3 linked regions of the Diceros bicornis minor genome follow. The protein of the gene in region 1 interacts with the protein of each later gene in a biochemical or structural test. Links are inferred from orthologs where the notes say so. Each region holds a gene or a part of one and is shown on either strand. Other genes may lie near its edges.

The links.
Region 2: the proteins of UBE2B (region 1) and RNF40 form a complex in vitro, tested with the Homo sapiens proteins (3 studies listed by BioGRID). The link is inferred for Diceros bicornis minor from reciprocal best matches to the Homo sapiens genes UBE2B and RNF40.
Region 3: the proteins of UBE2B (region 1) and UBR1 form a complex in vitro, tested with the Homo sapiens proteins (2 studies listed by BioGRID and IntAct, with this or other methods). The link is inferred for Diceros bicornis minor from reciprocal best matches to the Homo sapiens genes UBE2B and UBR1.

Annotation. Positions count from the first base shown.
Region 1 is NC_080740.1:53,504,459-53,508,205, reverse strand, and holds the start of UBE2B (ubiquitin-conjugating enzyme E2 B), read right to left. Parts: upstream 2,300-3,747; 5' UTR 2,232-2,299; coding exon 2,188-2,231; intron 1,709-2,187; exon of another isoform or gene 1,227-1,708; intron 78-1,226; coding exon 1-77. UniProt on the Homo sapiens protein: E2 ubiquitin-conjugating enzyme that accepts ubiquitin from the ubiquitin-activating enzyme E1 and transfers it to a E3 ubiquitin-protein ligase. In vitro catalyzes 'Lys-11'-, as well as 'Lys-48'- and 'Lys-63'-linked polyubiquitination.
Region 2 is NC_080765.1:21,218,019-21,221,765, forward strand, and holds the start of RNF40 (E3 ubiquitin-protein ligase BRE1B), read right to left. Parts: upstream 2,818-3,747; 5' UTR 2,354-2,817; intron 2,246-2,353; 5' UTR 2,174-2,245; coding exon 2,042-2,173; intron 2,008-2,041; exon of another isoform or gene 1,772-2,007; intron 1,623-1,771; coding exon 1,455-1,622; intron 1,320-1,454; coding exon 1,187-1,319; intron 697-1,186; coding exon 490-696; intron 1-489. Other genes in the region: CFAP119 (cilia- and flagella-associated protein 119), read left to right, coding at 2,917-3,120, 3,446-3,477.
Region 3 is NC_080744.1:40,574,309-40,578,055, reverse strand, and holds the start of UBR1 (E3 ubiquitin-protein ligase UBR1), read left to right. Parts: upstream 1-1,143; 5' UTR 1,144-1,390; coding exon 1,391-1,471; intron 1,472-3,747. UniProt on the Homo sapiens protein: E3 ubiquitin-protein ligase which is a component of the N-end rule pathway. Recognizes and binds proteins bearing specific N-terminal residues that are destabilizing according to the N-end rule, leading to their ubiquitination and subsequent degradation.

The sequences.
Region 1 (3,747 bases):
ATATAACTGCATTCCACTGCATGATGTTGTTTTCAGATGGTGCACCACTGACACCCACAGGTGGGTCCTCTTGCAATCTAGAAATCCAGAGTAGTAATTTTAAAAGTTGAACATGAAGGCCACTAAGAAGGCCCAACAGAACACCTATGGACTCTATACTATCTACTCTGAGACACACACTAAATCCATTTTCTTGTTCTTGTGCTGAGCTGGAACAAACCATGACTTAAAAAAAAAAAATCGACCAGGTATATACTTATTAAATATCTCTCCAAATTATCTAAAATTCCAAAGGGCTTAGGAATCATCCCTCTTCAAATATCACTGAGTTTAAGATATCTCTTCAAGAACTGAGGTATACAGACTGCCCTCAACCAGAAAAAAGACCCTCGAGTGCAAAAAATATTTTTACAGCACAATCAACTGTGCTGCTATAAACACACAAAGACTGAGCCCTAATCACAGCTACTTGTACAACATGACCACCAAAACAAAAACCGCAAAACAAAAAAAATTCAGTGTAAGTACTCAACGACTGAAAATACTTATATTCAGTTTCATTAGGAAACTGGTTTTAGGTAGGAAAGTTACTTTATCCCACCAGCCTCAATTAGCAATGGCTTTTAAAGTAATCAACGCTTTAGTTAAGCTGCCAACAGCCCCTATTTTAAAGGCTCTGCACTAACACTAAATCCACCTCTTACATGAGGAGACTCAATACAAAGCTACCTTCCGATATTTGTGACAGTGAAATTCTTGTAACCTGAAGACCCTTGGAAAATTACCAGAGGCGCCATGTGTTCAACTCAGAATTAAGGAGAGAATCCCTTAAGAAAGCAGGGTAACAATGGACACAAACTGGAAGTTTCATTACCTGAGTTTCATTCACGGGCGCTAATCTCAAGTCTACTGATTTCAAGCGTTAGAAGATGTTTGCACCAAAGAAGCATCCCCTTTTAAAGACTACCAACTCAGGAAAAAATAAATGCTACATTATACATATAGATATATATGTAGTGACTGTCATGTGATATGCTACTTTGAAATTAGTCCACATAAAAATCGTTCTTTTTAGTCAACCTCAAGTAGATTAGGCCACGATGAACAGAAGCCTTAGAGGAATTACGCTGCCTGACGCCCACGAAGGTAAATGGCTAAGAGAAGTTACAAATATATTCAATGATAAACGGGCCAAGGCCCAAAACAATGGCTTCCAAATGCCTCACCTGCGGCTTTTTAATGGCGAAGTCGAGAGATTACTTCCTGAGCGACTGATATTGTTTTTACATTAGATATTGTGTCTCAACTAGGGAAGGTCTCCCCAGAAAAACATTTAAAATGCGCAGAGGATCGCATTGCTAAGTTTTCTCATTTTATTCCGTACTTCCAGGTATTCAAAGGTAAACAAGTGAAAAAAAGTCACTTCCTCCTCACTAACCCCAACACCTCCTAACAAAACCCTGTTTTACAAAAGGAGGCCCAGGGAGTATCAGGTTAGCGCCAGCCTCAAGGAAGGCATTTTTCCAGACTTTGGAGGCTATAGATAGGGCTTTATACACCAGGCCACAGAGCTGAATTCCAGAAGGTACTGGCAGCCGGGGTTGCCAGCCCGAGGCCCAGGTCTCTAAGCCAGCACTCAAGGTCCTTTCAGGCGGGCGGGGAGAGTCGGGTTTCGGAGGATGGGTTAACCACCTCCAGACCACGCGCTGCAGACCCCACCCTCACTGCGAGGGGGGGGGGGACTTCGCCCCAACCCAGCCCCTCAGAGGAGACCGCAGGGCCATCGAACAAAGCTGACTAGTGCAGCAAGCGGGGAAAAAGCTTCTGCAAGGGCTCGCTCTTACGGGACAGGGAGGGGGCACCGGGGAGGTGGGGGGATGAGGTACAAGCTCTAGGATGAGACGTCGGGCAGCCGGTCCAAGTGGGCAGCAGAGAATCCTAGGACAGCCCAAAGCCATCTTTTTACTTTTGGAGGCGGGGATAGGGTACCGAAATTTTTTACGTCGGAAGAGTGAGCAAGCAAGGATTGAGGGACTGCGGCCGGGAGCTAGGACTGGGCTTCCGTCGGTCCCGCTGGGCCCAAAGCCGGCCCTTAGGGTCAAGAGAGAAAGGTGTCCCGGATCCCCGCCCTGCTGCCCCGCAGCTTTGGGGAGGAGCCGTCAGCCGGGCGAAGATGAGGGCCCTTACCGCTTGAAATCCCGCATGAGCCTCCTCCGGGCCGGGGTCGACATGCTCCCCACCTGCCCCGCGATCAGTCTGAAAAAAAAGAGTCCCGCACAGCCCCCCCCACCCCCCGGCGCGGCGGTCGAATCACTGTGGGTCACCGCCGCTGCCGAGGTTGCACAAACAACCCTGCAATGACGTCTCCCTCCGCCGCCTCCAGATCCCTCCGCCCTTCGCCAGTACCACAGGGTGAGGGGTTGCGGAGGAGCGGGGGAACGTATGAAAGCTCGTTATAGGAGCCTTTCAGCAGGACTCTATATTCATTTTGACTGCCTGAACTAATCAACAAATTAGTGTTCTCCGTTCTCAGACTGGAGGTTGTGGATTAAGAGACACTCAAACCGAAACACCACCGTGTCTCTCCCCCCTTCACTAGTTTAGGCTCGACCGGGTGGGGAGAGAGGAACGCATCCGGGGCCAGAGATTTCAGGGAAAGGAGGTGGGATGACGTAAGATCACGTGACCTATGGCGACGTTGTCAACAATCCACCCCTGAGGGGGAGGGGGCGAAGTATCTAGAACCACGTGTCCCTATGACGCTATTAGAACGGATCACGTGAGAGTGCTGCTCTGGTCTGAGTCTCAGCCAGGTCTATGAAGCCGGTAGTTAATTTTATTGGGCTGAGGGCAGGGATATACCTTTATTAGTTTTCCCTCCAGTTTGTCCCATAAACAGGGACGGCAATCGAAGAGTCGTGGTGGAAGCAAAAGCTTGTTTTGCTGCTTAAGTCTTTAAAAGGGTCCCAAAATAATTTGGATTCAAAATCCTCTTTGGTTGGTTCAATGGCTTATCTGGTGTATGGGGAAGGCAGAATGAAGGGACCTCAGTTTTTGCTAAGTGCAGCATTGAATGCTGAGGCCCGCACAAAGTAAAATCTCCTGAAATGCTTAGTTAGGGCCACCAAATAGCCTGTATGTGCATTACAGTGGGGTTTCCAGGGTTGGAAATTCTGGGCAAAGATAAAAGAACAGTGTACAGATTGTCCAAGATTTGTTCACAGTCCTTATGGAATTATGGAATTTTGTTTTTCCTTTATGGGTCTGCTCTCATTTGAGGATGTGTGGAAAAGTTCATGGATTTGGCCACAATGGGGTACCTTGTATTTGTCAAGAAATGTTGGGATGAGATCTCAAGAGAGCATGTGGATGGGTGGTTGGTTGTCAGAGACACCTAAAAATAGGATTCAAATCTGTGGGAGAGATCAGGCAGATAAAGGTGGGGGTTATATATCTAGCCTGGATAACTCATTTCAGGTTTTCTATGCTAGCAAGTAAGGGGCAAATGGGCCTGAAATGCTCCCCACCAGGGGGCTCAGAGGTGTTGACCCCTGGGGATTCTGTTTCCTTCCCTCTATTGCCTCCAATTCCTGGCCTTAGGGCTTAGCTGGTCAGAAGGACTCTGAGCACTTTCATATTCTTTTGGGTAATTCTTCAGTCCAAGGTGGAAGAGGAGGATGGAATAAGGACCTTAGCATTGCCCCAAGTTGCCCATAGTTCTACAGAACTAGAAAGGGTTAACTTTCC
Region 2 (3,747 bases), on another chromosome or scaffold:
CTGCTATGTGCCCAGTGTGATCCACCAGCTGTCTTGCCAATTTCTCATGACAAAGCCAGGAGTCTTTATCCCCACTGTACAAAGGAGGAAACCAGCTCAGAGAGGAGAGCCATTTGCCCAGATTGCCCAGGCTAGAGTGACAAAACTAAGGCTGGGAGAAGATATCTGACTGCAAAGCCTGGGCACTTGCTGCTATGCCTTGTGGATCAGCAACTGCCACCAAGATCTGTGTACAGTGCTCCAAAGAGGTCTCCAGCCAGAAGGGGGTGGCCCCACCAGCATCAGCTCCTCCCACCCATATCTCTAGAGCTCAACTCCAGGATTCACAGCTGGAGCCCCCATCTACAACCTAACTCTTCCGCTGAGAACATGGCTGATCTAATCCTTGGGGAATTCTGGCTGCCTTTGGGCTAGAGGCATTGAGGAGGGGATACTGTGAAGATGCAAATTGCGATGGACATCTCTAGGGTGAGGGCACAAAGAACTAACCTCGGCTGTATACTCGTTGACACAGTTCCTCCACTCGGCGCTGTAAGCGGTCTGAGGCCTCTACAACACGGGACACGGCTGCTTTGGAGAACTCCATACGGCCCTGCAGCTGCAGCTCCACCTCCTCACTACTGCTGGCACCCAGCGCCACCACAAAAGCCAAGGCTGGCTCGCTGAGTGGGGGCCGCAGCTGCATTGGCAGGGTCTCTGGGAAGGAAGGACACACTCTCATGAGGATAAAGGCAGCAGTTACCACCACTCTGCACCAAGTTCCAGACCAAGCCCTTCAACACTCTATGGCTCACTGAATCAACACAACCAATGCCTGTAGTACACCGTTATCCCCATCTTGAAAGTGAAACAACTGAGGTTCAGGGAGGTAAAGTAATCTCCTCAAGCCCACAGAGCTCCCAAATCACTTCCTCAGGGAAGTCTTCTCTGCCTCTCCAATCTAAATGAGAACCACACACGTGTACACACACCCTAATTCCCATTCAAGGAGCCCTATACTTTTAACATATGGTTCAAAATCACTTCCTCCCTGGTGGCAAAAACAGTATTTCTTTTTGCTTATTTCTGTCTCCTCCATCTAGAACGGGGCCAGGGAATTCAGGAGCCTAATATCAAAGTCCCCTCCTCTCCAGGACCTTTCCCAGAATTTAATTAAGCTCCCCAGATCCTACGGCTCTGGCCCTACCCGACGTCCCTGGCTCTGTAAGAGGGGTCTCATCACGTGTTGGCCCTTCCTGGGTCCCAGGCGCCTCTGTCCCTGAAGACAGCTCCCCCTGGCTCTCATGGTGTCTGAGAAGAGCTTCCACAGTTTCATCCAGCTGAAGGGAGAAAGCACCAAAAATGTTATGAATCCCTCAGGTGCTTCCCCAGCATGATACTCCTTTCCCAGCAGAGGAGTCTGAGGATTGGCAGCTGGATTAAGGCCAGGTCGTGGCAAGCAGAGGGGCATCCACCTGGGCCCAGTAGCGGTTGACAATGAGGAGTGTGGCATCATCTGTGGCCTGCCGCTTCTCCAGCTTCTCAATTCGTTCTCGGAGTTCATCTTCACAAGCCTGTCGCTGTTCCAACCGCTCTGCTAGTTTCTTGTTCTTGAACTGCAGCACCTTCAGGTCCATCTCCTCCTACCAAGGAAACAAAGAAGCCAAGGACAGGATCAAGCAGGGCCCAAGAAACCAACCAGAGAGAGACAGAGGAAAACAAATGGAATGGATGGGAAAGGGAGACTGCTCCCCAGACTGCTAGCAGGATTTAAAGAGGCTCAGGTACCCACAGAGAAAGCGTCTTGGTTGTGAGGCGGGTCATGTTCTCCTGCCTCTTTCTAACTCTGAAGTCTCTGACAAGTCACACGCGCACTGGGCACCTGTTTTCCTATCTGTAAAGGGAAGGCAGACGTCATGTCCTCGGTTTCCCTCAACAGAGTGTTCTGTAAAGGGGCTCTTGCTAAGCTTGGGGGACTGGGAGTAAGGTTCCGGAAGATTTGGGAGAAGAACAGAGATTGGAGTCTGGCAAGTTGTGAGGGCTGGGGCAGGAGCCCACGAACCGTGGAAGAGATGCCCCCAAGACGAATGGGCTCTATAAGTGTGGTTGTGGTCTTCTCCTCACGGCTGAGCTTCTTCTCTGGGGGCCCCGAGCCCCCGTCGCCGGCGGCGCGTTTGTTGCCGGGCCCAGACATGGCCGCGGCGGCGAGGAGCGGCGCAGCGTCTCCCGAGGGACGTCAGGCAGGCGGAGGCGGCACGTCTGTCACCTGCAGAAGACAGAGCGCACAGATGTGGAAGCAGCCGGTGCTCCGCAACCCCGAGCCTCCCCCGCACACAAACGCTGGGTCCCGCCCCGCCGGCCCCGGGCCCCTCACCGGCAACAAGATCAACCGAGCCCCGCCATCTTGGACTTCACCGGACGTCACCGGCCTCCCCAGCAGAGAGCGCAGGCGCCAGAGGCAGTGCCGGATGTGGCGAACCTCCTTCATTTCCTGTTTCTATTGGTCGCGCTTTGTCCCGCCTCTCGGGTCCGGTCTGGTGTCTTCCTGAACACTTCCTCTTTCGCTCGGTGATTGGCCAGTAAAGGGTTCCCATGGTAACTGATACTACACTTTCACTCCCTAGCCCTGATGACATCGCCTGCCTCCTGTTAGCCACTTTGAAGAAAGGGCAGCGGGACGGGGCTTGCAACTTACTACGCATGCGCACTCTCTTTTCACTGATTGGCAAGCGCTTTACACTTTCACCCTTCCTCCACGAGACTCCTTAGCAACGGTCACCGTTGAGACCGAGGGAGACGCCCCTCGCGCATTGGCTGCCCCTGGCGTCTCTGCAGCATAGATTGGCTGAAGCGTCGTTAAAGGGCCAGGCCTTGGCAGTCGCTGCCCGAGAACCGGCTGTCCCGGAACGGAGGCGGGACCGCGGGAGGAGCGACGAGATGATCCGCCAGAAGTCCAGCCAATTCCTAGGACTCAGAATGCAGTCGGAGCTTGAAGAGCCCTCCGAACAGCGGCGGGAACCCGACAAAAACCTCAGCTCAGTGGATGAATCGGCTACGCGGATGGGAACAGATGTGCGGATCGAGTCGGGGACCGCGGCCTCGGTGGAAGCAGATGATGATCCTGCAGCCAACTTGTTCCCGGTGAGGGCGGGACAGACTGGTCCTCTCATGAATGTTTATAAAAAGGCTCCCCAACAGGGCGTCACCCGTCGTTATGTTTACTAACGTTCGAGACATTTTCCGGGCTGCCTTAGTGAAGAGTCAGGGGTGTGTGAGCCCGATTGTTAATACGCTCATGAATAATATGTAGGTCCTGCTGAAGCCCAGCCCGCCAGCGTTGCTTGTACATAGTCCTTAAATGAGAAGTTAGCTCGTTCTCAGGCCCGCTGGATATTCGCGATGGGCCAGGAACTAGGGGCCAGGGACAACATAGCTCTGCCTTCCCCAATCCGCTTTCTTTCCGCAGCCGCCGCTGCCCCAGCCCCGGATCTGCATGTGGTGAGTGTGAAGAACCTCGGGAGAAAGTTACACTTCACACTTGCATTATTCCTTTAGTGCTTCCCCAACAGTCCTATCAAACAGCCAGGACATCCCCATTTTACAGATAAGGAGACCAAGGCCCAGAGATGCAATTAGCCAAGGGACTAGAAGCCAGCTCTCCTGCCTTCCCACTCCAAAGAGAGTGTGGGAAGAAGGGAGCCAAAGACTGAGGATGTAAGTGGAATATCATAGCCACTATGGAGCATTGTACAAATGGGGACACTGAGG
Region 3 (3,747 bases), on another chromosome or scaffold:
AAAAACTTACCAAATTTTTAGGCAATATATAGAATCCCATTTCTGCTTAATTTGCATTTATTTGCCTACTAGATAGGTTTTTAAATACATTTATAAAAATCGGTAAGTTGCATATTTATGTATTTTGCCCTTTTTCCTATTGGAATAGTCTCATTTGGGGTTTTATCCTTTAGTCTGTCATGAATGTTGTAGACATTTCTTCCCAGTTTTTGTTTACTTTTTAACTTTGTGTAGTTTATTTTATATGTAAGTTATTAATTTTGATAAAATTACTTATCAGTCTTTTTATATTTTCTGCTTTTGGTGTCATGCTTTAAAAAGCCTTCTCCATCCCAATATTAAAGAAATATTTACTTATTTGCTTTCTTTTTTAGTAGTTAACTCATCAATTCATTGGGAATTATTCTGATATATGATTTGAGATGAAGATCTGACTTAATCTTTTCCCAAACAGTTTATTTCTTTCCAGAGTGTTATGAGCTTTATTACTATTTTTCCCTTTGTTAAAAAAAATATTTTAACATCATTTGTTTTGTAAACAATTTAAAACAATATAAATGAAGCTAACGTAGCTCTTGACCACCTTCCTCCTCTCTTGGTCCTCAGAGCTAACTATTATTAGTTTGTTCTCTTCCCTTTCAGGCTGTTTCCTTCATATTTACATGTAGGTAAGCACAAATATATAGTTTGTGGCAACTTGGTTGTTTTTCCCCCCTCAATTAATTTATCTTTATCTTTTTACATAAATCTATCTTGTTTTTTTTAAAGAGCTGCATCGTGTCCCGTAATGCAAATGTACCACATTTATTCTGTCTTCCCTCTACCGAAGAACGACTAGAAGGTTTCCAATTTTTCATTTCTTCAGCACCTCCCCCCAAAACGCTGGGGCTCAAGCTTTCTTGTGGCAGGTACAAGTGGCCACAGACTACATTCCTAAAGATGGAAGAGCTTTGAGTACTTTTTCATTTTGCGGGCTCTGGGGAGCCACTGCAGGTACGTCGAGAGACAAAACAAACCCAGACCAACAACCGGGCCAGGAGACCCAGTACAGGTCCTTGGCCTCTCACAATTTTCTTCCTTTCACAATGGACGCTGAATTTGTTTTTTACCTCGCAGACGCAACGGTTCCCAGGACCGAAACCGAATTTACAGCCACTCACCCACCAAGCACTATGATTAAGAAATTACGGGAAGGAAAACCTCCAGCCGTACACGCCACGCCGTGATGCTTGCTTCCGGGAAGCGGAACGGAAGCCGCTCTTCGATTCTGCGTCAAACTCGACTTCAGGGGCCGTCGTAAAAGTGTCGCCCCTCGTCTCTCGAACCGGTCACAGGTTTCCGCTTGTCTCCGGCCGGGGGTCTGGAACTACGGGCGTCAGTTTCCCTCAAGATGGCGGAGAAGGAGGCGGTGGGTAGGGAGAGAATGGAAGTCAGCACGGAGTTGCCCCAGAACCCTCAGCGACTGGCGTCTGTAAGTCTTTGTGGGCAAGTTCCTCCCATCCTCCCCAAGTCCGTCCCTACCGCGCTCAGGAAGATGTGGGACTTCACCCCTTATGGAGGCTCTGGGGAGGGGAAGTCGTATGGATTGATCTGGAAGGAAGCCGCTTAATAAAAAGTTAATCATCACCCACACTCCTGCAGGCCAAGTCTACGGAAGATAATGACTTTGCCATTTATTAGTCTTGACGAGCTCAAGCGTGTCTCTATCCTGAAGTAGAAAGAACTGCTGATGTTATTAGAGGGTCTGGTGTGGGGGCTGAGGCGGGGTTACAGGAAGAGCCATTTTTCCTATAGACGCAGTGCTAACCTTTCTTGGTGGTAGGAATCCAGGACGCAGCACCTAGTGTTGTATTGCATAGCTGGCTGGGTGGAGCCTGATAGTGGCAGGAAATGCTGCCACTGTCAACTCATGTCAAGATATGGGGTGTAGAAATTGTAGTCCTTCATTCTAACGTCTTGAGAACCCCAGGCCTAATCCTCAGTGGAAAAACCTGTCATCTGTCGCTGCTATTTAAAGGTGAAGAAGAGACTTCCAGACATTTCAAATCAGCAATACCTTTAATTAATTTCGGAATGTATACTTTGCCCTTATATTTTGAAAGAAGGGGAGGGCAGAGATAGTGAGCAAATTTGAATCAATAGTCTGGCTACAGGGAGAAAGCTGACTGAGGAGTAAGGGGTAATATTAGGGAACGCTCTGGATGTCCCCAGGCATCTAGTGAGGAGATATATAGAAAATATTCAAATGTTGATCACTGCATGATGTTGAGTTTATCAGTTTGTCTTTGTTGCTGCATATAGAAAAGTGTGGGATGTACACCTCTTCCTGAAGTTTCTCTGGTTTGTAGTTTTAATAAAAGCATTCTTGAAGTATTTTAACCCTGCAGACACTTGAGCATTGTTTTATGAGAGAACAGAGTGAGCTCCAGAAATAAGAGACCGGCTGGGAGATAAAAAACAGGTAGGGAGGGAGTTGAAATAAAGGTTTGGCCACCAACTAGGGCAGTGCTTGCAACCATCCTCTACCCCAAAAAACAGTTCAACCTCTTCACCTGGTATTGAAGAAGGAAGCATCTATTTGAGATGATAAGAAATGAGAAGACAGGGAAAGTTTAGAAGCAACTAAAACATCTGGTCTTAATGATAGCTTGTGCTTTGTACATCTTAGAAGGAGTGGAGAAACTAGGTGCTGTGGTCAGATGTGTTGCTGTAATTTTGTATTGCCAAAGGTAACTAGTGCTGATTTAAAGCTTTGATATATTAATTCCTTCCAGGTGGTACAGTAAAACCTTATCAATCTGGACTTCACTTATTTGGAATTGGAGATAATGGTACAGGAATAAAGCTAGAATTAGGAGGCAAACTCTTTACTTCAAGAAATATTAGATTTCTTTAGATAAGGCTTTGAATTTTGCAAAGTAGTAGGTTGATTTCAGAAGTGTAATAGCCTCAGGGAACTCACAGTCTAGTGACAGATAAGACAAGTGCTCAAAGAATTGTAATACAAGATACGGTGGTGGTAAGTGGATGAAGACTTGTGACTGTTAAGCCTCATGATCACTTTTTTGGCTTAGATCTATCTACTTGAGGACTCCAGATATCTTCCTACTTTCCTTTTCTTTTTAAAGCTACCATCTTCAATTTTATCCTGACAGTGGACTAGGATACTGACTTTCCAGTTTACTTCTTTGCTGTTAAGCAAAACAAGTTCAGAGATTCTTTAACATTTGAATGATTTGTATTCTAAATCACCATTCGGAGACAGGGAAAACAAAAATAATAAATATGGGACAGTTACAGAGGTTTAAGAAATCTTACCAGCTTTATTAGAATCTTGTTCCTGGTTATAGTTTCTGTTATTCTTAAATCAAACTTCCTTCTTAGACCCCACGTCATTTTTCTGTCATATTGCTATCAACAAGCATGAAGGCTCTCAAATTCCTAACATCACCTAACATGCAATTAGTGTGAAATAATAGGTATGAATTATCGGACATTTATAAAAGCCATTGCTTAAGAATCGTTAGAGAAGTTGATTCTGTAGGTCTGGGGTGGGGTCCAAGAATTTGCGTTTTCACAAGCATGGCCTGCTGATTCTGAAATCCTGGTCTGTGGGCCACATTTTGAGTAAGACTTAGCTAGACATTTGGAAGTTCTCAATATAGAATTGACAGTCGAGGTTGTGGGAATGGATAAGATCTTTGAGGAGGAGAGATAGAGAGAGAAAAAGAGAGACAGTGTGTGTGT